Linked DNA regions of Macaca fascicularis. The protein of the gene in region 1 binds, or shares a complex with, the protein of each later gene. Links are inferred from orthologs where the notes say so. Each region holds a gene or a part of one and is shown in the gene's direction. Other genes may lie near its edges. The genes, in order: STRN3, STK25, SIKE1, STK26, STRIP1 and STK24.

What was found.
Region 2: STRN3 (region 1) and STK25 share a complex: the UniProt entries of both Homo sapiens proteins name them as parts of the core of STRIPAK complex. The link is inferred for Macaca fascicularis from reciprocal best matches to the Homo sapiens genes STRN3 and STK25.
Region 3: the proteins of STRN3 (region 1) and SIKE1 are in contact, whole or in part, in a crystal structure (PDB 6AKL), measured with the Homo sapiens proteins. The link is inferred for Macaca fascicularis from reciprocal best matches to the Homo sapiens genes STRN3 and SIKE1. Residues at the interface, in NP_001077362.1 of Homo sapiens: Arg176, Leu179, Tyr182, Leu183, Val186, Tyr188; in NP_079349.2 of Homo sapiens: Glu96, His97, Ala100, Leu103, Ile104, Ser106, Lys107.
Region 4: STRN3 (region 1) and STK26 share a complex: the UniProt entries of both Homo sapiens proteins name them as parts of the core of STRIPAK complex. The link is inferred for Macaca fascicularis from reciprocal best matches to the Homo sapiens genes STRN3 and STK26.
Region 5: the proteins of STRN3 (region 1) and STRIP1 are in contact, whole or in part, in a cryo-EM structure (PDB 7K36), measured with the Homo sapiens proteins. The link is inferred for Macaca fascicularis from reciprocal best matches to the Homo sapiens genes STRN3 and STRIP1. Residues at the interface, in NP_001077362.1 of Homo sapiens: Thr64, Pro66, Gly67, Leu69, His70, Tyr71, Gln73, His74, Val88, Glu89, Ala91, Glu92, Ala95, Arg96, Phe99, Leu100, Glu103, Gly106, Gln107, Leu110, Asp113, Leu114; in NP_149079.2 of Homo sapiens: Arg441, Ile445, Tyr447, Leu449, Thr455, Val456, Val457, Gly458, Leu459, Arg491, Ser492, Pro493, Leu494, Ser495, Phe792, Leu793, Pro794, Val795, Asn797, Cys798, Leu799, Val802.
Region 6: STRN3 (region 1) and STK24 share a complex: the UniProt entries of both Homo sapiens proteins name them as parts of the core of STRIPAK complex. The link is inferred for Macaca fascicularis from reciprocal best matches to the Homo sapiens genes STRN3 and STK24.

The regions. Positions count from the first base shown.
Region 1 is NC_088381.1:98,837,140-98,842,447, reverse strand, and holds the start of STRN3 (striatin-3), read left to right. Parts: upstream 1-1,717; 5' UTR 1,718-1,911; coding exon 1,912-2,193; intron 2,194-2,311; exon of another isoform or gene 2,312-2,452; intron 2,453-5,308. UniProt on the Homo sapiens protein: Calmodulin-binding scaffolding protein which is the center of the striatin-interacting phosphatase and kinase (STRIPAK) complexes.
Region 2 is NC_088386.1:137,457,758-137,462,830, reverse strand, and holds the start of STK25 (serine/threonine-protein kinase 25), read left to right. Parts: upstream 1-1,898; coding exon 1,899-1,928; exon of another isoform or gene 1,929-2,278; intron 2,279-5,073. Other genes in the region: uncharacterized protein, read right to left, coding at 908-1,900. UniProt on the Homo sapiens protein: Oxidant stress-activated serine/threonine kinase that may play a role in the response to environmental stress.
Region 3 is NC_088375.1:119,590,204-119,595,437, forward strand, and holds the start of SIKE1 (suppressor of IKBKE 1), read left to right. Parts: upstream 1-1,700; 5' UTR 1,701-1,772; coding exon 1,773-1,943; exon of another isoform or gene 1,944-1,993; intron 1,994-2,164; coding exon 2,165-2,270; intron 2,271-3,094; coding exon 3,095-3,237; intron 3,238-4,797; coding exon of another isoform or gene 4,798-4,830; exon of another isoform or gene 4,831-4,973; intron 4,974-5,234.
Region 4 is NC_088395.1:138,329,850-138,334,468, forward strand, and holds part of STK26 (serine/threonine-protein kinase 26), read left to right. Parts: intron 1-666; coding exon 667-760; intron 761-1,533; coding exon 1,534-1,596; intron 1,597-1,677; coding exon 1,678-1,814; intron 1,815-2,849; coding exon 2,850-2,874; 3' UTR 2,875-4,619. UniProt on the Homo sapiens protein: Serine/threonine-protein kinase that acts as a mediator of cell growth. Modulates apoptosis. In association with STK24 negatively regulates Golgi reorientation in polarized cell migration upon RHO activation.
Region 5 is NC_088375.1:124,270,316-124,274,934, reverse strand, and holds part of STRIP1 (striatin-interacting protein 1), read left to right. Parts: intron 1-649; coding exon 650-718; intron 719-1,860; coding exon 1,861-1,967; intron 1,968-2,058; coding exon 2,059-2,186; intron 2,187-3,417; coding exon 3,418-3,600; intron 3,601-3,968; coding exon 3,969-4,186; intron 4,187-4,619. UniProt on the Homo sapiens protein: Plays a role in the regulation of cell morphology and cytoskeletal organization. Required in the cortical actin filament dynamics and cell shape. Part of the striatin-interacting phosphatase and kinase (STRIPAK) complexes.
Region 6 is NC_088391.1:89,413,665-89,419,002, reverse strand, and holds the start of STK24 (serine/threonine-protein kinase 24), read left to right. Parts: upstream 1-2,276; 5' UTR 2,277-2,498; coding exon 2,499-2,576; intron 2,577-4,893; coding exon 4,894-5,124; intron 5,125-5,338. UniProt on the Homo sapiens protein: Serine/threonine-protein kinase that acts on both serine and threonine residues and promotes apoptosis in response to stress stimuli and caspase activation.

The DNA.
Region 1 (5,308 bases):
ATGAGTAACAAGTCCAATCTGCTTTCCATTATACTGTAATAACAGTAAAGCAGACATGATAAAATAAGATGAATTACTTTATCTCTTTGAAATTACTTCCTGATTGGTTGGTAGTGCATACTCCTTAGTACAAGTTTTATTGGCTTTTGCAACAAAGAAAAAAATTTTAAAAAGTAACAGATCTTAAATGCAATTTTCCTGTATCGCTATTAATATAATTACCGAACCTAATTTCCTTATGTTGCTAATTATTTTTGTCTTATTTTTCAAATAAATGCTTCTTAGCTATATTAATTTTTAGAAACATTCTAGTGCATTAGGATATTTTCTAGGAAACTAAGCACATAAAAATACCCACGATTGTACTTAAAATATTAGCCTTGTCTCTTATGCGTATATTACATTCACTCAAACTTTTAAAAAAAATTTTCCGACACGGAGTCTCGCTTTGTCGCCAGACTGGAGTGCAGTGATGCGATCTCGGCTCTCTGCAACCTCAGCCTCCTGGGCTCAAGCAATTCTCGTGCCTCAGCCTCCTCAGGAGCTGGGACTACAGGCGTGCGCCACCACGCCCGGTTAATTTTTGTATTTTTAATAGAAATGCGGTTTCACAATGTTGGCCAAGCTAGTCTCGAACTCCTGGCCTCAAGTGATCGCCCACCTCGGCCTCCCAAAGTGCTGGGATTACAGGCTTGAGCAGCCGCGTCCGGCCATATTCACTTAAACATTTAATGACCCAGGAGAACATCCATCTAGGATTTTAAGTTGTACTCACAATGCTTTTATTTTCTGTTTCGATCAAAATAGTCTATTGATGACAATATTTGTGAGCCCATTCATTTCTAAGATATCAAATTGTTAGTCTAGCCAGTCTCCTTCAAACTTTTCTCCCTTTACCTACCATCGTCAAGATCCAAAGGAATTCACTACCTCTTCTTCTCCCAAGAAAAAAAAAAATCGCTCCTCCCCCTCTCCCAACCCCCCGAAACACAACCCATTCCAGAAAAGGAAAGAAGAGGGGACGCAAAGTGGAATAAGTTACGACGCGCGACCCAGCGCACAGAAACGGTACCAAAGCCCAGGCTCGAGACGGAGACGAGGAATCAGTAACCACAGGCGGAGGATCTTGGCTATTTGCCAGAAGAGAACTGACTGGTGCTAAGAAACCAGAGACAGAGCCAGTGACAGGAAGGGAAAGAGGGCCCACCCTTGGGACTGCCTGAAACACCCAAAGAATGAAAAAGAAACGTCAGGAATCCGAGACGGGCTGCGGTCGGCCAGAGCGACCAGCCAGGTTAATAACAAGCTCCGAAGCCCGGCACACGGGTGAGAGACCCTTGGGAAGGAAACTGCGCCTGGGGACGGCCTGCTCGAAGGAAACTGATAACCAGGAAGCCTACGGCCGCCTCGCTTCCAAAAGCCAAAGTCGGAGCCCCGGCGCCCCGTAGCTGCCGGCAGACACCGCACCGGGTCAATACGCCGGCCTAGAGGCGGAGCCCGAGCTCTTTCCCCGCCCTCTAACGGCGACCCGGGTTGCGTTCTCAGTGCGCCGGCGTAGGGTGAGGCCGGACTCTATTTGGCGATTAAGCGTGAGGCTGCGTTCGCTACCCAGCATGCTGTGCGCTAGTGACGGCCCTCCGCCTATCCCCTTCCCAACTCTCCCCCCACCCCTCCCGCCGCGGCCCCCCTTCCCCTAAAGTGAGTGAGTGAGACGGGCAGATGGAGGAGGGACTGTAATGGCGGCGGCCGGCAGCTCCCTGCTCTGACCCACGGCAGGCACACAGTAACGACCCCTTCCCCGCCCCTCTCCCGGCCGGCCTCCGCCCCGCAGCCAGCGCGGGGCCACCCTCTCCGGCCCTTCCCCCAGCTGTCGGCGTCTCGCCCTGCGCCCCGGCCGGGGCCCCACACACAATGGACGAGCTTGCCGGAGGCGGTGGTGGCGGCCCGGGGATGGCGGCCCCTCCCCGGCAGCAGCAGGGACCTGGGGGGAACCTGGGCCTTCCGCCGGGGGGGAACGGAGCGGCGGGCGGCGGGGGTCCTCCGGCCTCCGAGGGAGCGGGTCCCGCGGCAGGCCCCGAGCTGTCCCGGCCGCAGCAGTACACTATCCCGGGGATACTGCACTACATCCAGCACGAGTGGGCTCGGTTCGAGATGGAGCGGGCGCACTGGGAGGTGGAACGGGCCGAACTGCAGGTACCTCGTTGGGGTCGGTGTGCGGGACGGCTGCGGCGGCTGGGTTCCCGGCCGGGGGGTGGGGCCGGGGACTCCCCTCAGCCGGAGCCGGTGCCTTGGGAGGCCGAGCGGAACCTACCTGTGCTGCTCGGGGTGTGATGGTCCTCTCAACGGCTTTTCCTGGAGTCCCCCTCCCTCTTTCCCGCAGAAGCTTGCTCCCCAACCTTCACTAGCTACGCGGTGCGGGCCTCCTCCGGGCAGCCATTTTGGCTTTTAGTATGGCGTCTGCGGGGGCTCCTCTGGAGGCGGCCTTCCCGGGTCTCCGGGGCTTGGGGCCGAGCACCTTTCTGTGGGAGAGTCCGGTTTGGGGCCTCTCGACCCAGAGTTTACTCTTGTTTGTTCCTCTTGAGATGAAGAGCCTGACGAGAATGACTAGGATAGGCATCTTACCCCCCTTTTCCGGACCACCCCCCCTTTCCGATTTGGCATATCTGGCCCCCTCCCTCAGTCTTGGTACGCACTTGCCCCTTGACAGCCACGCTTCTTTCCTGGGCTGCTACGGTGCACAGTGACTTGGGACTGACCTGTGAAGTTTTATTTCCCATCGTCAACTTTTTAAGTACTTTCTTACCTGAGATGCTGCCTTAGTCACTTGGATTTTCTGTAGTTATTCCTTACTTAGTGACTCATCAACGCTTTCAGCACTGAATTTTTCTTTTCACAGTACTCTTCACTAGATCTCCTTTCCTCATCTCTTTATCTATAAAAAAACCCAACCAGACGATCGATGCTGTACTTATGAAACGACTGAAGAGATTTAATATTCGCTTGAACTGAAATGTAGTTATATCATGTTACTTGTGCAGGAGAAGTGAGATGTTCTCAGGACCCTTCATAGTTGAGCTTGACTCGATCCTCATGATGTGAACCTTTGATAGGCTACACATTTGGAAGCTGTTGGTAGTTAACAGCTCATGTCCTGGTTCTCAAAATTGCTGCATCTTTTTGAAAGGATTATTTAACTTTCTTAGGTATTTGTGTTTATTTTTAAGTACCTTTCCAGGGCAAATTTAGGCTTAGAAGCAAAAAGCATGCGTCTAAATAGTATGGCACCTGTTCTTCAGACTGTTGTATATTTAGGAGGTAAGCAGTGTTTGCTGTCATATATGTCATATGCCTATGGTGAATAGTTAGGCAAATGTAGTGCTGAAAGGAGGAGGATTGGATTAACTAGAAAGGGTGTCCTCAAACAAAGGGTTTAGTTTGGTTCTGAACTAGTAAACTTTTATATGACTGCACAAAGTGGGTGAAGTTAAACTTTTCAAAAGTAAAAAATACTTGGGTATTTTGACACTGTATGAAGTCTTAAAAAATTGTAATACTTGTTAGTCATAGCTTTACAATTGTGTTTTGATATAATATTGGGCTTTAAAATTACATAACTTTAAAAAAGCTGAAGTCAAAACTGGTTTCTTTTAAGTTGTGTACAGTCTTGCTTTAAAATACTTAAAATTTATAGAATTCTGTTGATATACAGCTTTCTACTACATACTGTAAACTTAATTTTCTGTGTGAGTAAAGTTAGGCATTTGTTCTTAAAATTTGGATTGACAAATGCATTAAGGCCTAGGCTCACTAAGTAATACTTCACCAGTCCCTGCTATGGTTTCTTTGACCTTTGTACTATTGTATGCAAGTTTTGATTTTAACACTGTTTAAGTTAACAATTGCATTTTTCACCCATAAACTTCACTAATGTGAGCAGCTGAGAAGAAAGATATCTTGTGCGCAAATTAGTAAAACCTATACTATATATTAAAGAAGCCTTTATTGCCTGCTCTAGCATTTGCTTTCCCTTCTTGGTCTCCTCTCCTTAACGGGCAGCAGCAAAGAATTTTAAGGAAGATTCTTTTTGCTTGCTTGCTTGCTTGCTTTCAGATCTATTGGTACAGTAGTTCTGTTATTAGCCATCCTACGTTTTTGTTTGTTTCCTTGTTTTGAAGAAGTCCTACACTGTTTCTAGACTTATTTCGTACTGATTCTTTTGGAGTAAAATGTTCACGATGGCTTTGGTTTTTTTTTGTGTTATATATTTAAAATGTTTTATTGGGTTAACTTAGTTAATAAGGTTTCTAGTTTCTATCAGGAATATTGAATTTGCCTTAGGTGCCTTCAGTCTACTGAGATTGCTTGTGAGATGCATATTTTAAAATGTATGTGTTGAATACATATTTGTGGGAGGATGTAGTGAAGCATCAGTGGATTTTTACTGTAAACCTAAACTTATTTTTAAGAAAGACAATCTAGAATTAAGACAACTTACATATTATTATGTGCAGTCTCCGGTGCGATTCCATCTACACATATTTTTAAAGTGTTAATTATGGAATAGTTTCAATAGAGAACATGAGCTTAAGGAATACCCCATATTGATGTAAAATTTTAATGGGGAATATTTTTTTCCCTGGCTTTGGGAGAGATATTAAAAGGAACTTTGCAGTATGATTCTGTTCTCCGTAAAAAGAATTTATAGTAAAGGTCTTAGAAACTTGGAACGAAACCAAAGGATCATGTCTTAAAGCTCTTCTGTCTCTGATTCTTCCTTACCTTGAACTCAGGTAAAGCATTGTTAATAAGGTCGTAGGACAGTTGTTTCTTAACTTTTATATAACATGAATTACCAAAATTCCACAGACAGTCCACTTCAAGCCCTAGATCAGTCCAGATCTCCAGAGATTGAGAGGCCTACGTATTTTTTAAAGTTCTACAAGTGATTCTTTCTTCACAGTAGTGCCTGTTACAGAGAAAAATCACTACACTACACTTTTCTTTTTTGTAATTTCATAGTAGATTCATTAAATCTTGTCATGGAAAAGACACTAGGATTTGCAAATCACTATTCTAGACCAGCTTTTGAAAATCCTGAAAATAGAAAATTCAGGAGATTCCCCCCTTAGAAATGAAGAAATCAAGTTAAGTCTAAGCAAAATATCTCCTACTAACTTAAGGATCTTTAAGCAGCAACATCTATCATGTTACGACTTGTAAAAGTTAGAAACTGCCAGTTAATCAGCACTATAACCTTCTGAGGTAGGTATTCCTATTTTACAGGTGAGGAGACAAATTTAGGTAGGTT
Region 2 (5,073 bases), on another chromosome or scaffold:
CTGTCATGGGCTGGCATGGTCCTGGGCACAGCTCTGCTTGCAGGAAGCCCACTTCCTCCTGGGGAGTCAAAGCACAAACAAAACCAAGTCAGTATGTCAACAAGCAGGGGTGATGAGATGGGGACCCAGGGGTTCAAGGGGCTGTCCTGGATGCATGACAGGGAAACATGGCTTCTTAAAGGACTTGGCAACGCACCATGAGAAAACACGCACCAGGGAGCAAAGAGAAACGCCAGAACCCTCTTGAGGAAGGAGGGGTGTGAGGTGGTCAGGATAGTCATCTGTGCTGAGCCATCATGGAAACTGAGGGCCTGTAAGGGTGGACACAGAGTGGAGGACAGACAAATCTTCCTCACCGGACAGGTGGGGATCCCTGCGGTGCACCAGGGGAATGCACACAGGGGGCACTATGACCTGGCGGCCCACGGGGCAGGGGGGCGCACCAGGTAGCCTTGGGCTCTGCAAGTCCCTCCCTGACCTTGGGGAGGTGACCCCAGTGCCACGACGGTTTCCAGCAGCAGTCACTGTCCTGGGCGGGTACCGCGCTCTAGCCCAGGTGGGTCCCACAAAGGTGTGACCAAGGATGTCCTATGATCACCCCTTTACAGGTAAGGAAACTGAGGCAGAAGATGCGAAGGTCGCGCAAGGAATGGGCTGTGCAGGTAGCTTCTCCAAGGCTTGCTGCGCCCTGGCCTGTGCGCATGATCCCGAGCGGGGTCTCGGTGCGAACAGGGGTTTCGCGGTGTGACCAGCGCCGGCTTATCTCCGAGCCGTGAGGACAAGGCCAACAGCCTGGGCGGCCGCGGTGGATCCTCGGGGCGAGGCGGGGAGGGCGCGGGGCCTTACTGGCCAGCTCGGACCAGGGCTGCGCAGGGCAGAGCCCAAGGGAAACGCCGCGCGGCCGCCGTCACGTCGGAGACGACGCCCTGCAGGCGCCAGCAGACGCAGAAGGCCAGCGAGGGCGAGGCACGGAAGACGCGACGCGACAACGACCACGTGCCCCGCCCGCCCCGCCGCGCGCCCTGCTGGGAGACGCAGTCCAAGCCTTTCGGGAGCCGAACTCGGGGTCCCAGAGAGCCTCGCGGCGCGCATGTGAGCCCCGCCCCTCTCTCGCGGCCTGCCGGGACTTGTAGTGCAACGCCAGCAGACTTCCGGGCCCGGAATGGGCGGTGGGACTCGGGGTCCCAGAGAGCCTCGCGGGGCGCATGTGAGCCCCGCCCCTCTCTCGCGGCCTGCCGGGACTTGTAGTCCAACGCCAGCAGGCTTCCGGGCCCGGAATGGGCGGTGGGACTCGGGGTCCCAGAGAGCCGTGCGCGGGCCGCGACGCCGAATACCGCCCTCGCCGTCGCCTCCTCCGGGCTTTCTCCTGTCGCTGCCGCCACCGCCGTTGCTTCGCGGGCTGGGAGGCCCGGGGTCCCCGGGCGAACAGAGGCTGCGGGTGGGAGCCTTCGCGGGCGCTGCAGAGCGGGCCGGGGGAGGCCGGGATGGAGCCCCGCGGAGGTGGGCGCGCTGCCGGGCGCGCGTTAGCGGCGATTGGGGAGGGGGCGGAGGGAGGGGCCCGGGGCGGGGCTCGGTGGCGGGGACTCCGGGGCGGGGGCACCGGGAGGAAGCTGCCTCGGAAGAGGTGGGGGCGGGGACGGGAGGGGCGGCGAGTCCCCGGGAGCCTGGGCTGTAGGCCCGGGCGTGGCGGGGCCCCGATGGCCTGGGGGTCTCCTGGGGCCCCCCTCCAGCCCGCCGCCCCGGAGCTCGGTCTCAGATGACTGAACTGGGCGCCGACCGCTCCTGCTGTCCCTCGCAGTGGACTGACGCCGCAGGGGCGAGCGAGCCGGCTCCACGCCTCTCCGCGGGATCCAGACGCCTCTCGGGGCTGTCGGCGGAGGGTCCGAGGCGGCCCGGCCATGGCTCACCTCCGGGGATTTGCCAACCAGGTGAGGAGGGTGCAGTTCAGGAAGACTAGCGGCCTCTCAGCGAGGGGCGCCAGAGCTTCCCGGGGGCTCCGAGGGGCGCCTCGCCGGAGCGGGCGGTGGGTGAGGGAAGGAGCGCGCGTCGTGCGACCAGCGGAGCCGTCCTGAGGTGGGCGCAGGGCGGCCCCCGGGCTCTGCCGTGTGCTTGTGGCGTTTTGCGTGGTAGGAGCTCGCAGACCTCTTGACACCGAGCCCCGGGTGGCTCCGCCTGTGCGAGGGCGGCGGAGGTGCGTGAAGAGACACCGGCTCCGGGACAGGACGCTGCCCCCAGCGCGGGGCGGGAACCTCGTGTCGGCATCTGAAGGCAGTGGAAGGTCAGGGGCCACACTGCGGCCTGAGCCCGGGCCACGGGTCGTTCCGGCCGTTCTGGCCGTGTTGGGCTGGGCGGGGGCCGTAGAGGAGACCCTGATGGGCGCTGAGGGGCTGGGAACGTGGAGAAGCCGATCTGAGCGGCCGGTGTGCAGGGAAAGCGGAAAACGCGTGTGTGCTTTGGCCCAGGGGAAGGTGAAAAGGCTGCTCTGTTCAGAACCGTTTAACCCCTGCTACGGGCGGTTGCCCGAACAGGAGGCTCGTCATTCCTCTTTGAAGAAGTCGGTTCCACTATGGAGCCACCTTGAAGCGTCTGGTGGGACAGCCTCGGAGGGAGCCACTACAGCGAGCCCTTAGTCTGGAATGAGGACCAGCTGCTGCTGCCACAGGGCATGCCAGGGAAGGAGGGTGGGGACAGCCAGCCTGGGACCTGGAGACTTGCACTGTGTACCTCTCCCCATTTTTTTGACTCTGGCTGCTGGGTTTTTTTACGTCTTAGCGTTCGGTTTTGCTCTCCTTGATGCCTTGGCTCTGCCTAAGGTGTTGGAATCGCCGCTAAAATGTGTGGCCCTCCTTGTTCACTCCTCTGTGCTGAATTCCTGAGAGCTGGGTGTGCAGTGGAACAGGAAGGGCGTCTGTCCGCATAGGGGCAGGAACTGGAGTCAGGGCTGCTTTGGAGGAAACTGGACCAGCCTAGAGACCCGGAATACCGTGTGCAGCTCTTGGGCCAGGCAGCCTGGACCTGCGCGGTCACAGATGGGACTGGGGCTTGCTGACTGATGCTGAATTAAGCTAACAGATTTTTGACTTTCTGTATCTGGTAACTTACATGACTAAGGTGCTGGGAGAAAAATCTGTCACCAATTTATTTTATTTTTATTTTTTATTTTTTTGAGACAGAGTTTCACTTTTGTTGCTCAGGCTGGAGTGCAATGGCGCAATCTCAGCTCACTGCAACCTCTGCCTCCCAGGTACAAGCCATTCTCCTGTCTTGGCCTCACGAGTAGCTGGGATTACAGGCGTGTGCCATCACGCCCAGCTAATTTTGTATTTTTAGTAGAGACGGAGTTTCACCATGTTGGTCAAGCTGGTCTCAAACTCCTGACCTCAGGTGATCTGCTTGCCGTGGCCTCCCAAAGTGCTGGGATTACAGGCGTGAGACACCGTGCCCGGCCACCAGTTTATTTTTAAGAACTGCAGAAATAGCTCCTTTGGGTCACGGGATGAGAAATTGGAGCTCTGAGGTGCCCTGTGACTGTGTGCTGTTGGTTCTTGGTGCGATCAGACCCAGGGAAGGGAGTGGGCGCACTGGGGAAGGGAGTGGGTGCACTGGGGAAGGGAGTGGGTGCACTGGGGAGGGAGTGTGGGCGCACTGGGGAGGGAGTGTGGGTGCACTGGGGAAGGGAGTGGGCGCACTGGGGAGGGAGTGTGGGTGCACTGGGGAAGGGAGTGTGGGCGCACTGGGGAAGGGAGTGTGGGCACTGGGGAAGGGAGTAGACGTACTGGGGAGGGAGTGTGGGCACTGGGGAAGGGAGTAGGCGCACTGGGGAAGGGAGTGTGCGCACTGGGAAGGGAGTGGGCGCACTGGGGAAGGGAGTGTGGGCGCACTGGGGAGGGAGTGTGGGCACTGGGGAGGGAGTGTGGGCACTGGGGAGGGAGTGTGGGCGCACTGGGGAAGGGAGTGTGGGCACTGGGGAAGGGAGTAGGCGCACTGGGGAAGGGAGTGGGCGCACTGGGGAAGGGAGTGTGGGCGCACTGGGGAAGGGAGTAGGCACACTGGGGAAGGGAGTGTGGGCGCACTGGGGAGGGAGTGTGGGTGCACTGGGGAAGGGAGTGGGCGCACTGGGGAAGGGAGTGGGCGCACTGGGGGGGGAGTGTGGGCACTGGGGAAGGGAGTGTGGGTGCACTGGGGAAGGGAGTAGGCACACTGGGGAAGGGAGTGTGGGCGCACTGGGGAGGGAGTGTGGGCGCACTGGGGAAGGGAGTGGGCGCACTGGGGAAGGGAGTGTGGGCGCACTGGGGAGGGAGTGTGGGTGCACTGGGGAAGGGAGTGGGCGCACTGGGGAGGGAGTGTGGGCGCACTGGGGAAGGGAGTGTGGGCGCACTGGGGAAGGGAGTGTGGGCACTGGGGAAGGGAGTAGACGTACTGGGGAGGGAGTGTGGGCACTGGGGAAGGGAGTAGGCGCACTGGGGAAGGGAGTGGGCGCACTGGGGAAGGGAGTGTGGGCGCACTGGGGAGGGAGTGTGGGCACTGGGGAGGGAGTGTGGGCGCACTGGGGAGGGAGTGTGGGCGCACTGGGGAAGGGAGTGTGGGCACTGGGGAAGGGAGTAGACGTACTGGGGAGGGAGTGTGGGCACTGGGGAAGGGAGTAGGCGCACTGGGGAAGGGAGTGTGGGCGCACTGGGGAAGGGAGTGTGGGCACTGGGGAAGGGAGTAGACGTACTGGGGAGGGAGTGTGGGCACTGGGGAAGGGAGTAGGCGCACTGGGGAAGGGAGTGTGGGCGCACTGGGGAAGGGAGTGGGCGCACTGGGGAAGGGAGTGTGGGCGCACTGGGGAAGGGAGTGGGCGCGCACTGGGGAAGGGAGTGGGCGCACTGGGAAGGGAGTGTGGGCACTGGGGAAGGGAGTAGGCACACTGGGGAAGGGAGTAGGCACACTGGGGAAGGGAGTAGGCACACTGGGGAAGGGAGTGTGGGCGCACTGGGGAAGGGAGTGTGGGCACACTGGGGGGGGAGTGTGGGCACTGGGGAAGGGAGTGTGGGTGCACTGGGGAAGGGAGTAGGCGTGCACTGGGGAAGG
Region 3 (5,234 bases), on another chromosome or scaffold:
ATAGTTGAAACTCTTCAATCCCCTCAGGCCTAGAGACTATAACATAATGTTGTAAGGGCCAGTATTGAGGGCTAAAATCAGTTCAGACCCTACAAATCAAGGATGACACACAGATGCCAAAACAGCTGAACAAAATGCTTGCATTTCATATAGCTAATTGCAGCAAGCCAAGATTACAGCAGCTCAATGCATAGAATTTATAGATAAGTCAATTTTGTAACCTTGCCTTTTGGTTTTTGGTTTTTGGCTCTTAACATTGCTTAAGAGGAGTTTTAAGGTTAATGAGTGCCTGCCCACCTCCTTCCCCATCTGGCCTAGAATGTTTAATTGGCTGTAACTCTTTTGACTCTAAGTCGGTTGGCCGCAGGAGTGACATGATGGACTCAGGACAGGTAGCACACCACCCTGGCATTGATATGGGACAAAATTAAAGTTTGGACACTGATACTGTCTCTGGGATACGTTGACAAAAAAAAAAAAAAAAAAGCGGAATGCTGTTTTGAAGGCATGAGTGTAGCCATTCCCCATCTGCGAGCGTTTGATTAGTAAAACTGCTTTCCTTTCATCATCAGTCACTTCTCATGATTTTGGCCTCTAGGCAACAAACAGCCAGACGTGAGCCAGTTGTAATAGCAGCATTATTTACAATAGCAAAAGGCGGAAGCAACCCAACTGTCCAGCGGATGAATGGATAAACAAAACGTGGCATATACATATTATTCAGCCTTAAAAAGGAAGAACATTCTAACATATGCTACTGTGTGGATGAAACTCGTGGACATTACGCTAAGTGAAACAAGGCAGTTATATGAATATAAATGCTGTATGATTTCACTCACGTCAGGTACCCAGAATAGTCAGATTTGTAGAGACAAAGTAGAATGGTGGTTGCCAGGGGCTGGGGATAAGGAAGAATGAGGAGTTATTGTTTAAAGAGTGCAGAACTTCAGTACTGCAAGACGAAGGAGTTCTAGAAATGGATGCTGATGGTGGCTGTATAACCATATGAATATACTACTGAACTGTACACTTAAAAATGGCTGAGATATTAAATTTTATGTGCATTTTGCCACAATTTTTTAAAACTTAAATGAAAGTAGGCCAGGCGCAGTGGTTCACACCAACACTTTGGGAGGCCGAGGCAGGCAGATCACTTGAGGTCAGGAGTTCAAAACCAGCCTGGCCAACATGTGAAACCCCGTTTCTACTAAAAATAGAAAAATTAGCCGGCATGGTGGTGCATGCCTGTAATCCCAGCTACTCGGGAGGCTGAGGCAGGAGAATCGCTTGAACCCTGGAGCCATAGGTTGCAGTGAGCCAAGATCGCGCCACTGCACTGCAGTCTGGGCGACAAGAGCAAGATACCAAGATACCGTCTCAAAAACGAAAAAAAATAAATAAAAATTAAATGAAAATAAAAAGAAAATAACTGTGACTGAATAACAATCCACATCAATGAAAACCAGTGGGGAAAAGAGACCTTCCTTCTGCCCAGCTCATCATGGCCTGACCACCAGGCTGTGGCAACTGGAAACCAAGAGCGTGGTAAGGGCAGGTCTGGGGCTCCGCGTCAGGCAGGACTGCAAGGAAGCCACAGGTAAAAGCGGGTGAACCCGCAAAATAGGGTGCCACTGCGCAGGCGCCTCTTGCGTCTGCCAAGACACCTTTTAAACGTGCCCGGAAGTGACGCCAGTAATGCTGAGACAGACTCCCAGAAGATCTGAGCGAGTCGCGTAGCTGAGCCCGGCAGGGGCTGGGGTTGTGCTGCTGCTATGAGCTGCACCATCGAGAAGATCCTGACAGACGCCAAGACGCTTCTGGAGAGGCTGCGGGAGCACGATGCGGCTGCCGAGTCGCTGGTGGATCAGTCGGCAGCGCTGCACCGGCGGGTAGCCGCTATGCGGGAGGCGGGGACAGCGCTTCCGGACCAGGTCAGGCAGAGGGTAGGAGTCCAGTGCTCTCGGATTCTGGGCACTGAAGGGTGGAGAGCGAGGTAAAGTGGGAACTCGGCCTGAAATTTATTCCCGGTCTCAGAGGGCGGCGGTGAGACCTTTTTCCTGGGTCGGAGCTGAGAATCCTGCCCTAGAGCCCTGACTTCTGCCACTTGAGTTGCATCTGCCGCTGTTCTCTTTAAGGCATGCTTAGACTGTCTCTATTTGTCCAGTATCAAGAGGATGCATCCGATATGAAGGACATGTCCAAATACAAACCTCACATTCTGCTGTCTCAAGAGAACACACAGATTAGAGACTTGCAACAGGAAAACAGAGGTTAGTCAGGCCTTTTCATATCTGGTAATAGTTTAAAGTTACTGCAAAATTGCCCTAAACATTCACAAGGGTGTGCATCTATTTCCAGGTCAGTACTTTTAGTAGGAGAGTCCTCCTGTGCTGGCTCAGTAACAGTAAAGTTTGTTAGATTACCCATTTCAAGGTCATCTGACTGATTTTGTAGCAGCTTACCAAAGAGGGGCTATGTAGAGTTAGAATTATTGCATGGTTTATTTTTAAGCATCTCCAGATGTGTAACAAAAGAGTTCATATCCTCATGGACTTAAAATTTAATGTTTAAATATTAATATAAACACTGAAGGTAAGATTTAAGGTTTTGTTTATGTTCTTGTTTGTGCAAGGTGAAGCAGCAGAATTTTACTCTAAGGGTATATATTCTTAGGCTTGATTAGTACATTATTAATGACTGTAGTATTAATAGTTGTTTACCAGAGGGGTTTCACATATATCATTCTACTGTATTCTCATATCTTCATTTTTATCTATCACAATGCTGTTAAGAAATAGGCTCAGAGAAGCTAAATGATTTACTTATGAGTATTAACCAAGCAAGTTACAGAACTGAACTCAAATCCATGTCTTCTGATGACATATCCGTTGTTGTTACTGCAAGATTTTGCTTCTCTGCCTAGAAAGTTACCTTTAACATAGACTTTAACTGCTCAGTTTTGTGGACTGAAACATTGATTTACAACCTTGGATTCATATTATCTCTATAGTATTGCAAAATTCTAACTGTTAAGACTTTGGATTTGGGAACTGTCTCTCAGACATCACTGCCAAGTTATTTTATTTTTTGACAGAGCTGTGGATTTCCTTGGAGGAACACCAGGATGCTTTGGAGCTCATCATGAGCAAGTACCGGAAACAGATGTTACAGTTAATGGTTGCTAAAAAAGCTGTGGATGCTGAACCAGTCCTGAAAGCTCACCAGTCTCACTCTGCAGTAAGAAACTTCGAATAAATTTGAAATGAACCAAATTGAAATCTTGAGATTGTTTTAGATTGTGTGCTTGTTTTTTTGCTTTTTGAGACAGGGTCTGGCTCTGTCGACCAGGCTGTGGTGTAATGGCACGATCTCAGCTCACTGCAACCTCTGCCTTCTGGGGTCAAGCCATCCTCTCACCTCTGCCTCCTGAGCAGCTGGGACTACAGGTGCACACCACCATGCCCTGTTAATTTTTGTGGGGTTTTTTATTATTATTATTTTTTTTTTTTTTTTGTAGAGATGAGGTTTCGCCATGTTGCCCAGGCTGGTCTGAAACTCCTGGGCTCAAGCGATCAACCCACGTTAGCCTTCCAAAGTGCTGGGATTATAGGCATGAGCCACTGTGACTGGCCATGTGTGCTTGTTTTTGAAGAAAAGTAAGCTTGTTTTCCTTTCATGTTTATCATATTTGTTGTTTATTTTGCCATGGCTTTGTAAAGATATGAATAGAAAGAAGGATAGTGGTTGCTCAGGTCCTTTTATTTGAATGGGACTAACGTTCCCCCTCCCTCACCAAGATCTCTTTTGAAAATGTTCATTAATTCTTAGCCCTCACACCAAACGTAATGTCAGTTAGTGTTGAAGGTGCCCAGTAAATACTTGGTTGGTTATTATACATTTCACTTAAGCTCCTTGGTTGTGAGGCACTTGAATTCACATTTTATTCCTAACATAGTACCTGACATATAGCAAGCAGTCAATAAACCTTTTATAAACTGAACCACATAGCATCATACTATGTTATTAGGGGATAGAAGTATGGTTTTTAAAAAAAACAAACATGGCATAGTTTCTATGCTTTGATTGCTTATTATCTAATTTGGGAGACTCGGTAATTGTTCTTATGTTTGTAGGTGCTTCATGGTTGTCATTGTACATTCGTGTGTACTGTGTCATTTAATTCTAGATGTATAAGTTGGAGCCTACTACTTCTGTGAGATGTAGTGAAATATAAGCTTCATCTTAAATTACATTGAATGCATTTTACTGACTTAAAAGTTTTAGGAAACAGATATTTTAAATATTTGAATGGCTTTCAACTGGAAGAGAAAAATAGATTTTATTTATTCTCATATGGAGGAAAAAACCTGAACTTTGAAAGAGACAGTTTACTCAGATAGATAAACTTTCTAAGTGATATGTCCAAAGATAGAATAAGGCACCTTGGAATGTAGTAAGCTTCCTGCCAGTGAAAGTATTCAAATTTAAGTTAAACAGCCACTTAGAGGTAGTATCCAACATCCAATGGGTAGTTAAACTACAACTGATTTTTTTTTCCGTTTCAAATATTTTTATTGGAGGGTGGACCTATTGGGTGATTGATGCACTGGACATAGATAATTTTCAGAAATGAAAATAACATTGCTTGCATCAGATCAGATTTCACCCACAGAAATGACTAAGGCCTTATCAGAGTTGGCATTGGATGAAAACTTAATCCTTTATGGAAAGGGAATCATCTGGCCTTCTATTTCTGAAATAGACTAAAGATTACTCATTTATTCTCTGCAATTACAGCCATCAGATCCTTTGAAATCTTGGAAGGCGTGAGAAGATAACATGACTGTAACACAAATCCATATCGAAGAGCCCAGTATTTAAAAATTCCCCATGTTCACATACTGAAGGGTTACTTATGAGCTGATGCATATCACTGATAACCATAGGATTATCAACTTGATGTCTGGGCAAAGAGTGAAAACAGAAAATGCATTCTACTCTTCACTTCTTGGTTTTAAATATAAGAAACATTATATATTTGTTTAAAAACTGTATCCCTGGCCAGGCGCGGTGGCTCAAGCCTGTAATCCCAGCACTTTGGGAGGCCGAGACGGGCGGATCACGAGGTCAGGAGATCGAGACCATCCTGGCTAACACGGTGAAACCCCATCTCTACTAAAAATACAAGAAAATTAGCCGGGCGAGGTGGCGGGCGCCTGTAGTCCCAGCTACTC
Region 4 (4,619 bases), on another chromosome or scaffold:
GGTGTTAGCCTTAGCTTCCCATAAGAGTCACTCATGGAACCTTTTTATTTTTATTTTTATTTTTTATTTTTTATTTTTATTTTTATTTTTTAAATTTATTTATTATTATTATACTTTAAGTTCTAGGGTACATGTGCATAACGTGCAGGTTTGTTACATATGTATACTTGTGCCATGTTGGTGTGCTGTACCCATCAACTCGTCAGCACCCATCAACTCGTCATTTACATCAGGTATAACTCCCAGTGCAATCCCTCCCCCCTCCCCCCTCCCCATGATAGGCCCCGGTGTGTGATGTTCCCCTTCCCGAGTCCAAGAAGGATGAGTTTGTGTCCTTTGTAGGGACATGGATGCACATGGAACCTTAAAGCAATCGCAAGCCACACCACTGGAGATCCTGATTCAATAGGTGGGGAGCAGTGAGGGACAGGTATTTACATTTGGTAGGAGGTCTCAATGAAGCACACATCGAGCTGAGAACCACTCCACTACCACTCTGTAGTAAAATGTAGTATTCACCTGCAGCTGAGATCAGATCTTTTTTGTACCAGGAGTTTTTAAACATTGGGACAATTATTCCTTTAGATTCTACATACATCGATTTGATATTTTTGCCAAGCTGAATCATTTGGTCACTTATAGAGGTATCTTTGGCAATCTCTTTAGGGAATCTACCAGCAGGGAAAACAATACTCATCCTGAATGGAGCTTTACCACCGTACGAAAGAAGCCTGATCCAAAGAAAGTACAGAATGGGGCAGTATGTATATGGAGACAATTACTTACTCTTCATACAGTTTTTCAAACTATGTAGTGAGATTATAATGGCCCAAAATTGTTAGGATTGAATACCCCAAATGCCTGTCTGCCTCACTGTGTTTGTAGTATGCTTCATTTGTCATTAGTTTTGAGCTAATTAAAAAAGTTAATAGAAGTTATTTAAGTGGCCATATTGGAATTTTTTTTTTTTTTTTTTTTTTTTTTTTTTTTGAGACGGAGTCTCGCTATGTCGCCCAGGCTGGAGTGCAGTGGCCAGATCTTGGCTCACTGTAAGCTCCGCCTCCCGGGTTTACACCATTCTCCTGCCTCAGCCTCCCGAGTAGCTGGGACTACAGGCGCCTGCCACCTCGCCTGGCTAGTTTTTTGTATTTTTTAGTAGAGACGGGGTTTCGCCATGTTAGCCAGGATGGTCTCGATCTCCTGACCTCGTGATCCGCCCGTCTCGGCCTCCCAAAGTGCTGGGATTACAGGCTTGAGCCACTGTGCCCGGCCCATATTGGTATTTTTTAAGTGCATTTCACCTAGAGATACATAAGCCCAGGGAATCATAGGTGTCTATTGTAATCCTAGAAGTTAGAGGACTTCTGGATGATGAATGGGAATGAATGACAGGAAGAAAGCTTAGAGACTTGCCTTGCATACAATATTTTGTTTTCAGTGGGGCATTCAAATTAGTTCGTATTTGTTAAAGAATAAGAAAATCATAACAATTATTTTAATTTCATGTGTATAATCTGTATCATTTGTTCAAAGGAGCAAGATCTTGTGCAAACCCTGAGCTGTTTGTCTATGATAATCACACCTGCATTTGCTGAAGTAAGTACAGATTAATTGGCCTTGGATATCTGTTTGAAGTAGTATAATATTTTAAGTGTTTTAATTATTACTCTTTCTCAGCTTAAACAGCAGGACGAGAATAATGCTAGCAGGAATCAGGCGATTGAAGAACTCGAGAAAAGTATTGCTGTGGCTGAAGCCGCCTGTCCTGGCATCACAGATAAAATGGTGAAGAAGCTAATTGAAAAATTTCAAAAGTAAGTTGGAAATGTCATTTTAAAAATTATTTTGCATTTTCTGTTGTATGTTAATTTATGATGCAATGTAATTTCGTTGATTCAACCATTCCAATTATTCCTAACAAAGTCACCTTTTAATACATAGTTGTATACTTAAAAATAGTTTTTGTTTGTTGTGTATCTTAAACATTAGCTTTTGGAATTTTTAGGCATGACAAGGTAGTTTTCCACTGCATGAAATGGCCTGTTTTTCTTTCTCCACTAGTAGGAGTATGGACAAAAGGTCACTGAGCATATTCTCATTTGAGCTCTCATTAATATCATTGGGGAATGCTTTCTTTCTTGCCACTACCCTCAGAATTTAACAAAACACCACTAGTTGCATAATTTCCAGTGCTAAAGTTCCTACATTTGACCTCCATATGAAAAGTTAAGGAAAAGGTAGAGGGACTCAATCCAGACTGAAAAAGGGCTCTTATGTTCAACTTCAGTTTCTATGTTGTCTCTTGAAATATTCATTTGATTTTGTTCACATTCAAAAAAGTTCTTACATTTAATTTTTTAAAAAATTTTCAACAAGACTTTTGTATGCATGTACACACATATACACTCCTTAGCTCAAGCAAGCTATAAGGTGATACTAATTTTAGCCTTGACCTTGTTATATCTCTTCTCAGTGCATCTTTATATTTCTTTGTTTGTGATGCCACTGGGATTGAGTTGGAACAAACTCTGTGACCTGTGAAATCACACACTCTCAAAGATCTTTCTATCTGATAAGGCTCACTTGTACTCGTAAACCTAACCCCCTCTTAAAATCCCTTATATTTTAATGAAGACCTCCCATTTGAAAACAAATCAATTGGAAGTTGTGAAATCAGATACAGAAGGGATTTTTGAACTTGTTTATATTTTAACATCTACATGATGAGATTCCATAAAAACAATGTATCCCTTTTGTGGAATCAGTTTCTTCATTGCAGAGTTCATACAAAAGAGAAATATAAATATGCATAGTTGTACATTTGTTTACATTTTTAAAAAATTTTATAGGTGTTCAGCAAACGAATCCCCCTAAGAAACTTATTATTGGCTTCTGTTTCATATGGACCCAGAGAGCCCCACCAAAGCTACTTCAAGCTTAACAATGCTTAACCCATGAGCTCCAGGTGCCTTTTGGATCTTTGCAACACTGAAGATTTGGAAGAAGCTATTAAACTATTTTGTGATGGTGTTTATCATTTTATATTTTGAAAGGATTATTTTGTAAGGAGTAACTTTTAATACTATAGTTTCACCTGTATTCTAGTAAATGTTGAGACACCGTTTTGCTTTTAAGTATCCCTATTTCTTAAGTTAAGTTACTAAGATGAATACCTTTCACGTCTTGATCTTTAATTGACTACAGTCATGAAACGTACAGGTCTTTCAAAGTCATTCTCAGTATTCAGCTTTTGTAAAGTATCAAGCTTCAAAAAGTGTTGTTGTTGTTGTTGTTTTTTAAACATGCGTATTCTAAAAATGACTATTGGTGGGGAGGTGTAAATAAGTCATACCTTCTTAAAACAGAAAATTTTAGTAAAGTCTTTTAAATGAAACCTGTAAAAGTATTGATTCTTCTACCAAGTTGGTATGATATTCCAGGCAGCTCAATGATTATCACATTTGAGATCCTGTGTTTGAAGCATTTACAGGCAATGTACAGCAACAGAGGTACCTCTTGGTGTATAGTATTTACATTCTCTTTTAGGTAGAAGAGGCAATTTTACCCTTATTTAACATGGTTAGAAATTTAAAGCAAGATCATTTACCCAAGGATAGGTGCTTGGTAATGTTGGAGGAGTTAGTCTGGCTTCATGTTTTACATCTTCAACTAAAATCCCATACTATCTGCTTGGATTTTGAGAGCCAAAAAAAAAAAAAAAAAAGCTGATTGTCATGTGATTAAATACCTGATCCATAGGTATGAATATAAGTTACACCAGCATATTTTTGCCATGGTAATGAATTGTCCTATAAACTATTTATATATTTTTGTTCTTCATAATTGTCACTAATAAGCATCAGTTTGTTGTTTTTAAAAGGATATTTAAGTGAGCATTTTCTAGTTCACATGAAAATAACCATAGTACAGGATGATTTCTGTCCACTCAAAGGTAAGTTAGATTGCACAGTTAATTTTCACTTATATTTATGGCACTATTATGTTGGTGATGCCTTTTTCTTTTAAGCCCAGTATTATGCCTGCCTAAGTTCTGAACTGGGGCTATATTTTAGTAGTTGTAGAATTATTGATATTTAGTTTTGATAGTTAATGTTTAATTGTTTGGATCTGCACAATTTGGTTTTTGCACAAAAGTCATTTTAAAAAAATCTGAGTAATTGCCAAATATTAGACGAAAGATATTCTTCCTGTAAGGAATACAGTTTTTAGTCAAAGTGGCCATTACATCCTCTTTTTACTTTACATGGTATAGATACTTGAGAAGGTTGTTCTGGTGTTGTATGCCAAGAAAATTCTTTTTATTGGTGCCTATATTGTAACAATTATTTTTAATGCATTGTATTTTGAAGTAATGGTTCAGTTAAATTTTTCACCCGCTGTGTAACTGAAACACAATTACAGTTTATAATCTGTAGAAGTCTGGAGATAATTTTGCAACTCATGTTATGGGTTAAATGAATATTTTTGTAAAAGTAAAAGCAGCAAATTTATAAATTGATTATTTGAAACTTTACAACACAATTGCATCCCAAATACAAATTGTATTGCTTATTCATTATAGCTATTCGTCCTGTAAACTGTTTCTAGGTGAAGCATAC
Region 5 (4,619 bases), on another chromosome or scaffold:
GAGTGCCTATGTGTCCCGGGCATTGTTCTCAGGATATTACAGGTGCTAATTCATGTTAAGGATATAGGTACTGCTATCATCCCCATTTTACAGATGAGGAAACTAAGGCACAGTTAGAGCCAGGATTCAAACTGTGGCAGTCCAGTGCACGACTGGGTTTTTTTTTGCTTGTTTGTCTTTTGTTTTTTGTTTTTTGGGGTTTTTTTTGAGAGTCTTGTTCTGTTGCCCAGGCTGGAGTGCAATGGCGCGAACTTGGCTCACTGCAACCTCCACCTCCTGGCTTCAAGCAATTCAAGCAATTCTCCGGCCTTGGCCTCCTGAGTAGCTGGGATTACAGGTGCCCGCCACCACACCCGGCTAATTTTTGTATTTTTAGTAGAGATGGGGTTTTACCATGTTGGCCAGGCTGGTCTCAAACTCTTGACCTCAGGTGATCCACCCGCCTCGGCTTCCCAAATGGTGTTGGGATTACAGGCGTGAGCCACCGTGCCCAGCCATGGCCTGGGTTCTTAGCCATCGTATCCTGTGGCTTCTTGTGCAGTCCAAGCATGTATCACAGGATTTTGTGTCCCCATTGGTCAGTACTTGTCAGGGACATCACTTATCTTCCTTCTTGGAGGAAGATGCTGACTCTCAAAATCTCCTGCAGCAACAGTGCCGCCTGCAGCAGTGCTGTGAGGAAGCCCGCCATCTCCCTGGCTGACAGCACAGACCTCAGGTGAGGCGAGCAGCAAGCCTGGGCTTCCGAGCGTTAGTCAGAGATGAGATCAGAGCAGGGTGTGGGAGGCTGGCTGTGGGTGTCCTTGCTGTGTGTGCTTCTGTACACGTCATCTGCACGTTTGATGGGCCCACTGTGAATGCTTAGTAGGAACTGCTGAGGGCTCATCCTAGGTGGGGCTCTGGGTTGAGACTCCCAAAGGCAATCCAGGGTCAGGTGACTTAGAGCCACAGCTAAGTGTGGGCCTCCTACTCACACTGTTACTCAGGACCCAGTTGTGGGTGTTTTGTATTTGGGTGAAACACTTGATAATGTTCCCAGGGCTCCCGCCGCCTTGTGTACACAGCTTGATCCTCATCTTCACTGGGTTAGACCCGACAGCTTCCTAATGTTTCATAGCTGCCCAGGAGCTCACAGCAACTGCTGAACACCAAGATCACCCTTCAGTTTTTGAAGGTTGAAATCTGGCTCTTTTTATGAATTTGGAAGTTTTTAGACTAGGTGGTTGTAGTGTTCCCTCCTAGGTGTTAGGATCCCTGGGTGTCACCTCTCAGCTCCTGCTTTCCACTTCCTCATCAAAAACCCTGTTTTTGTTCTCGCTGTGACCCCGTTCTGCTTTGACCCTATAGCTCACTACCATCTCTGGTGCTTTTCTTTTCAGGAAGCTTAGGGCGGTAAATGCTTTTGGCCATTCTTGTTCATATTCATTTATTCAGCTACCATTTATTAATTTTTTTTTTTTTTTTTTGAGACGGAGTCTCGCTCTGTAGCCCAGGCTGGAGTGCAGTGGCCGGATCTCAGCTCACTGCAAGCTCCGCCTCCCGGGTTCACGCCATTCTCCGGCCTCAGCCTCCCGAGTAGCTGGGACTACAGGCGCCTGCCACCTCACCCGGCTAGTTTTTTGTATTTCTTAGTAGAGACGGGGTTTCACCGTGTTAGCCAGGGTGGTCTCGATCTCCTGACCTCGTGATCCGCCCGTCTCGGCCTCCCAAAGTGCTGGGACTACAGGCTTGAGCCACCGCGCCCGGCCACCATTTATTAATATTAAGCCCCTGCTTTATGTAAGCACTTTGTTAGACACTAGGGTGCTCCTTCGACCCCCCCACCGCCCTACTTCATTGTGAGCTGGCTCTTGTCCTCAGGGTCCTGCTCAACATCATGTACCTGATAGTGGAGACCGTTCACCAGGAGTGTGAGGGTGACAAGGCTGAGTGGAGGACCATGCGGCAGACCTTCAGAGCCGAACTGGGTAGGACCCTGGGGATCCTCTCTAGAGGCCCTGCCTGGAAGCTGAGGCGGAAGGCTTTGGGAGGGTCCTGATACCTTTGTGTCACCTCCAGGCTCCCCGCTGTACAACAGTGAGCCGTTTGCCATCATGCTGTTTGGGATGGTGACCAAATTTTGCAGTGGTCACGCCCCTCACTTCCCCATGAAGAAAGTTCTCTTGCTGCTCTGGAAGACAGTATTGGTGAGCACCTACTTGGAGGAGAACTCAGGTGCTAGGGGATGGGCAGTAAGGAGACTGTTCCTTGAATATCCTTTTGAATATTGAATTATGTGACTATAAAACTGCTTTGGTAAAAAAAAAAAAATTATTTAAAAAGCGCTAAAAGGAGATGACAAAGTAAGTGCCACTATTGTCCCTTTGTAGCCAATGAGGACATAGGCCTTGAGTCAGAACAGACTGTTGGCTCCCTGACTCCTGGAAGATGTTTTCTGTCATAGAACAGCTCTCCCCCAGACAAGCTGCCTCTCAGCAAGCAGCTCTGGACCTGGAGTTTGTAAAGGGATTTAAGGCAAAGTTAAAGCTGGTGTAATTGGGGCCCTGGTAGGATGTCACTTGAAGGGGCAAGCGTGAGCCCTGAGCCAGCCTCCATTTTCTTCAGGGTATGGTGTCAACCCGACTCTGTGTCTAGGTAGGGAGGGACTGGGTGCCAGCGTGGGCCGTCCAGCACACTGGGCTTTGGAGCATTGTTAGCAGCCAGGCCATGCCAGGAGGCCTTCCCAGGAGGAGTGGCGTGGGGGAGGCAGTGGAGGTGGGTTGGGCCTCTGTTACACTGGGGCTCATCCTTCCTTTCAGAATGGGTCAGCTCTGGAGCCAGGGCTCAGTAAGTGTAGGATTTCTTGAGTCATTGACGCATTTTTATCTTGGCCACACATCCTGTTCTTCACAAAGCCTTGCTAAGGCCAGAGAGGAAAGCTGAACTGCTCAGAAACAGCAAAACTAAGCAATCTAAAATTGCTGCATGGTGCTGGGGTTTCTGTTTCTTGGGAGATGTTTAGATGAAGCTTTTTTTTTCTTTTAAATTTGAGCAACCAACTGTATTTCCAGTTTGACTTGGAAAGACTCGCATGTACAACTCGTGAAACATGAGTCTCACCAACTTTTCTAGGGACTTGCAGGGTTAGGCTCTTTGCTTTTTAAATGAAGAGTATGTCATAGGTGCAGAGTTAGTGTATCTGCACTAGGGTCAGTCAGCCTGCATCTCTACTCTTTCCTTGTTCCTTTTTCTCCTTTCCCTTGCGGATGTCGCAGAATTCTCCTCGGGAGTGGCTTCAGTCCGTTGTTCAGGGGTTGCCTGGGTCTCTATAAAGACGTGGGTCATGATGTGATGGGTGCTTCTGAGCCCAACACAATGGTCAGGGACCAGCCCTGTGGACACGTTGACTCTGGCTCTGCTTCCCTGTCTGTAATGCAGTGCACGCTGGGCGGCTTTGAGGAGCTGCAGAGCATGAAGGCTGAGAAGCGCAGCATCCTGGGCCTCCCCCCACTTCCTGAGGACAGCATCAAAGTGATTCGCAACATGAGGGCAGCCTCTCCACCAGCATCTGCTTCAGACTTGATTGAGCAGCAGCAGAAACGGGGCCGCCGAGAGCACAAGGTGAGGGTGACAGAGGTCCCTGTGACTCCTGAGGGCCCTCAAGGTGTATGCTTGCAGCAGCACAGTCCTTGGAGGAGCAGGGCTGCTGGAAATGATCTCTGATCAACCAGTCAGAATCATGCCTCCACGGCAAGGACACTTTGTCCCCAGCTCTGGTCCAGTTTATGGTGGGTGCTCAGCACGTGGTGCTTTTGAGGGACTGGAGCAAGAAGTACTTGATGGTTTGGCCCCCGTCTTGACTCCCCCTCTGGTTTTTCCACTGTTCCTGCCTCTACCTGACACCCCTGTGCGCTGTGTCTCCTCCAGCCGCACTTCCCTAGTCTGCATCCTCAATTGGCTCTTGTCTCATCTCACTTCCCTGGTTTCAGGCTCTGATAAAGCAGGACAACCTAGATGCCTTCAACGAGCGGGATCCCTACAAGGCTGATGACTCTCGAGAAGAGGAAGAGGAGAATGATGATGACAACAGTCTGGAGGGGGAGACGTTCCCCCTGGAACGAGATGAAGTGATGCCTCCCCCACTACAGCACCCACAGACTGACAGGCTGACCTGCCCCAAAGGGCTCCCCTGGGCTCCCAAGGTCAGGTGAGTCTCAGACCTCCAGAGCACTCATAGCTCCTGAGGCCAGAGCCCTCACACCCTCAGGCCTGCCGCCTGGCCTGCGTCACCGTGTGTGGTCCTCTGCAGGGCAGGCTGACCGTGGCTCTGGGATGAAGCTCTCTTAAAGCGCCTGGTGCTGTCCTGAGGGTCTCAGGGAGGCTAGCCTTGCTGGTCTCACACAACATGGCCCCCATGTGGCTACTGAGTCAGTAATTGGAGTTAGCTCTTGGTTAGACGTGCTAGTGAAGGGGGATAGGAAACAAATAAAAACAAAAGCATTTAAGCAAACATGTCCCCACCCCTCCCGGGGTTGTATATGATTTTTAAGGGAAAAATGATAGATTAAGGAAGAGTTTCTTTAGAGCCATAATGAAAATGTTTGAGATATGTGGGTACATCGATGGATGGGAAGGTACCT
Region 6 (5,338 bases), on another chromosome or scaffold:
CCTTCCAAGAGGCAGAGCAAACGCTGCGGGGCCCCTTGAGGCTTGACCTTGGAGATGGTACACCAGCTCAGGAACCACAGACCAGGTGATTCAAGGTGTGGGCTGCTCTTATGGGAGCAGCGGGCAAAGTCTTGTGGGGGGGTGTAGACACAAGGGATGGGTTATTAGTGCCATTATTGTAACAATCCACAAGGTTGCCTTCCGGTCCCCAGGGTTCATGTCCCTTACACATGCGAGAGAGACTCTTCCCTCCAGCATCTCCCCACTTCCCTCCTGGCACGGCGTCCGACTCAAGGTCTGCATGCCCTGCCTGCTTTGGGCTGGGTGTGGATGGGCTGCCAGCTCTTGATTCAGAGAGCCTCAGCTCAACAAGAGTTGTGGGACAGGAAGAGTGGGCCAGCCGCAGAGACTCCTCTTCAAAGAGGGCAGGGATGGAGGCATCTCACAACAGATGGGCCGCAGCAGTTCTGACCTAGAGCCAAGCATGGGCTGTCAGGGCCTCTGCTGGGGCAGTGCCCAGCTTCTAGCATCAGTTTTTGTATTAGTTGCCTATTGTTGAGTAGCAAGCCAACCAAAACCGAGTGGCCAAAACAGCAGGCTCACGATTTCTCGTGATTCTGTGGATTGAGCAGTTTTGCTGGCCTTTTCTGGGCTCTCTGTAGTCAGCTAATGGCATGGTTGAGGCCAGGTGGCCCAGGATGACTTGAGGCACATCCTGGGACCTCAGCTGGGGTCCAGGAAGTGGGCAGATGTCATTGTCTTTCTGACCACACCATTTTCGATTGCCTGCTTTCCCCTGCCTCGTGGTCACGTCCCTCTGCGGAGGGAGCTCTGCGAGTCCTCTTGGGGCCTTGCTTAGATTATATTCATCAGAACACAAAGCAAGACTAGCCACGGAGGCAGCCACTGTCTCTTGCTGGGGGGAGTGTCCAAGTCACACTCATAGGGTTGTGGACCCAGAGAGGTGGGATTTGTGGGTGGTTCTTTTTGTAACTGTCTCCCACAGGGTCAGCAACATGGTAAGGGTTTGGATACATTCTTGTTGCCTACTTTTAAAATTAAGTCTCAGAAAGCAAAGGCCACTGTTTTCTTAGTATGGGAGCAGGACGGTTACTGGAGGGGGGTGATCAGCTGACCTAGCATGATGGTGTTTTAGTGGCATGTCCCTTGTGGGGGCTGCCTGGCCTCCTGTCCCAGCCTGTGCCGAGCGGTGGTTCTCCAGGTGTGGTCCCTGGACCAGCAGCATCTCCCTCCCACCCCGGGATTCCAATTCTTGGGCCCACCCCCAGTTGACTGAATCAGAAACTCTTGGTGGGGTGGGGCTCTGTGGCCTTCCAGGGGAATGTGAGGCTCACCCAGGTCTGAGAATCACCGCTCCCAGGAATGACAGTGCTAACCGGCTCTCCTGACCTCAGGAAGGCAGGCTCTTACCACCCTTCTCACCCTTGTCAGCAGGGCTGCCCCTTCCCTCCAGGGCCCCCTGTCTGTGTGTAGGATAGCCTTTGAGGTGTCTCATCTGTGTCCTGTTCAAGCCAGGGTGAGTCTGGGGTTTTCTTATTGCTCAGGGGACATTTCCTGACCACAGTCCCATGCCATTTGTTATACCCGGGCACAGGAGTGTAGAGGTGCATGAGACACAGCCCCTGACTCCTCAGCTTGCAGCTGAACAAAGGACACAGCGCAGAGCAGAGGGCGACTGTGGGACGACAGTCCAGCAGGGGAAGCGGCGAATTCCGTGCACACATGTTGAGCTTGAAATGTCTGGGTAGAAAGAGAGAATGTCTGGGAAGCAGCTGGTCCGGGGGTTCCTGTTCAGAAGGCAGGCCTGAGCTAGCGCTTTGAAAGCTGTCATGTACATGAGTCTTGATCACAGCCTTTCCTTCAAGGTGGTGATTGACCAGAATCCATTGGGGTGTTTTAAAAACATGGGTTATTCACCTTGTTCTCTTCTGAACTCCCATATATTTCTGCAAGAATGTCAGATGTCCCAGGTTTGGGAAACGAGGGCCCCAGACCCTGAAACACTGGGCATCTGTGGGGAGAAGGAGTAGAGGCCCAGGCTGGGACCTGGAGTAAGGGCCAGACAAGGTGGAGTCAAGTTGGAATCTCTGTGAAGATCTTTCTGGAACTAGGGGGACTGGAAGAAGCCAGCGGGAGCAGGGCTGTGGATGCTGAAGGACTGGAAAGTTACCCAGAGGAGGGGGAGGGCGTGGTTGACGAGGCTCAGACACGACACTGCAGCACTGGTGACCGGAGCCAGAGCGGAGCCAGGCTGCAGTGGTGGGGAGGACCAGGCAGGTCCAGATGACTTTGAAGGGACTCCAGAGGAAGGAGAGGGTGGAGGAGGAGGGCTTATGGGTTAGGGAGGGTGCTGTCGTTTGTTTTAAATGGGAGAAACTGGAGCATGTTGCCAAGGGCAGAGAGCCAGCAGAGGGGTGAATGGAAGAAGGAGCCGAGAAGGGGTTTACTGACGAAGCCGTATCCTGGAGGAGAGAAGGATGGACTCCAGAGCCCAGCTTTGGGGACTGGCCTTGAATAAAAGGAGGGCCGCCCTACCTCACCCTGGAGGGAGCACGGTAAGGGAGAGGGCATGAAAGCAACGAAGATAGTAGCTGCCGAAAACGGGGTATGTTTCATTATAGCTAAAAAAGGAGATGAGCGCTGCTTCCCCCGCATCCCCAAAAGCTTCTCATCCTAGCAGCTTGTGTTAGAGGAGGTGGAGGTGCAGGCTCAAGGCCGCGTGCAGGGTGAGTCAGATGGGAGGTACCCACCCGGGCATTCTGTGGCATTCCCAAAAGTGACTGGTGATACTCAACTGGTATTGACAAGCTTGAACATAGGAAGAGGAGGATATTGTAGGGCTGCTCACTAGCTCCGAAAACAGTCTTCACTTGAGGAAATTATCCTGGGCTCTGACTGTGGGTCATTGACTATCTTGGTAAACCCAGGGGTCTTGGACTATGTTTTTAAAACCTGTAAGTACACAGCCAGGCTTCCTCCTAAGTATGACTGTCTTAAGATGTTTGAAATGTAGTGCCATGACTGAAAACAGTTTAGCAACTGTTCAGGAAAAAAAATTAAATGCCTCTTGATTAATCACCCAATTGATATGTTTAGTGAAGTACTTTAAGTGGAAATGAAGTTGGATAGATAGTTTCATTTTTAACACAACGGACGTTTGTGTAGCTTTTTAGGAGCCAAGGGGGATCATGGCTAAAACTGTAGTCCTTATAATCCCTGGCAGCTCGTTAGACCTCGGATTACGCTGGCCATGACCTTCCGGTGTGGGCTGAGCGCTCAGTGCCTGGCCTCTGGCCTGTCCTGCTTTCTTGGTAACCCCAGGATGCGTTTCCCATTGGGTACATGTCCAGCACACAAGCCTTACTTGGTTCATTTTGTACTAAGATGGTTGGTGGGTTTTGTGAGCTTTTGTGTTGTTTGATGTGCAGCCTCAAACCAACATGGGGCAGGGGCACTGCTCCCCTGTGTGCAGGAGGTCACTGTGGCTATCTGCTCATGTGTCGTTGTCATGATATGTGCGTTGTTGCCATGGTGGACACGCTGTAGCACAGTAAGGCCTGCAAACCAGAAATGGGCTGACTGGCTTTCAGCAGTTCTCTTGGAGAGTAGCTGCTCGGAACTCAGTGTGTCTCACCTTGGAGAGCTGTGGCTGGGTAGCCCCTGATGGCCCCGGAGGCTGGCCTCACTCATGATGCACTGCAGTTGCCATAGTGCTGTGTGTGTGACCCACCTCACATGCACTGCTCTGTGGATACCCTCTTCTGTGTCATCTTTCTTCTCGTTCTCTTTCTTTACCTCCTTCTCAGGCCTCCCTGTCCTCCCTGTGTGCTTGTTGCTTTCCCTAGTAGTTCAGCTTCTTCAAAGGACTGACAGATTTGGAGGGTTGGCCTGGCATTCTCTTCCCTATGGACCATTTCTGAGGGAAGATGTGTCTGCAGCGGTGGCAGTTCTTAGAGTCCTTCCTTGCTCTGTGGGGTTCCAGGCTATTGCTTGTCACCAGGGTGCCATTGGCATTTTGGGCTGTGCAGTTATTTGTGGGGAGATGTGCAGCGTCCCTGTCTTGCCTTGCTAAACGTCAGGATCGCTTCTCAGTTTCCTGACAGACAGGCCCTGTGGAGGACCGGTTACTGCCCCCCTTGAGAACTCGGCTGTTCACACGACTCTGTACTGTGTAGCTGTTAGGATGAGAGCTTGAACTCTGACAGCTAGCCTTCTTGGAACTGTATACTACATATGTGTGTGTAACTAATCAGGTGGTTAAGAGCTTTTAGAGGCTATTTCCGGGGTACAGCGTTTATGTGAGAAAAGGAAACAGGCTGCTTATTATTTTCTGGAATCTGGTTAGATTGTTACCGTTTTGGTAAAGGCAGTACTACTCATGAAGAGGCATACTTACGGTATACATTTTTTTTTCTATTCTGTGATATAGCTGGTTAACATTTTAGTAAAAATCCATTTGAATTCCGGAACTTGTGGGGATTGGGTGGGGAGAAAAGTGAATTTTTGCTTAGACAAGAGTGATTTTTCATTAAATCTATGTATCCTAACATGTTCAAATAAGCACTTAGATTTTAATTTACTCTCATTATACAATAGTTGGCATCTTTTCCATGTTTTCTAATCTAGCTGGGTAATTGTTCTTACTGGATGCTTGCTCTCTTTCATAGTCTGATGCGCATGTGTAGGTGAGACCTAGGAATCTTACGCCCTGACCCTGCAGAGCTGTGGTCACTACCAGCCTGATGGCTGGACAGAGAAAATAGATGAGTCCCTGGAAGACTGTGTGGTCTATAACATTACATATAAAATGACAAAGGAGTTGTGGTGCTTTGAGGGACTGAAGTTTCCCTTTTCTCTTCCTTCTCTCTACAGAACCTAAAGGCAGATCCAGAAGAGCTTTTTACAAAACTAGAGAAAATTGGGAAGGGCTCCTTTGGCGAGGTGTTCAAAGGCATTGACAATCGGACTCAGAAAGTGGTTGCCATAAAGATCATTGATCTGGAAGAAGCTGAAGATGAGATAGAGGACATTCAACAAGAAATCACAGTGCTGAGTCAGTGTGACAGTCCATATGTAACCAAATATTATGGATCCTATCTGAAGGTAAGGCTTAAAATAACGTGCTTTTCGTTCTGCAGCACTTGGCTGAGGTGCAAGCAGGGGATGGGAAGGACTCTGATAAGATACAGCACAGCAGGTTTCAGAGCAAGGAGAAACGTTTTGACCTTCGTGATCAAAAGAACCTGGCTTCAATGGTTCTGTCATCTCAAATGTCACCTATAGAAATATTTGTGGCGAAAGTGTTTGATGTTATAAT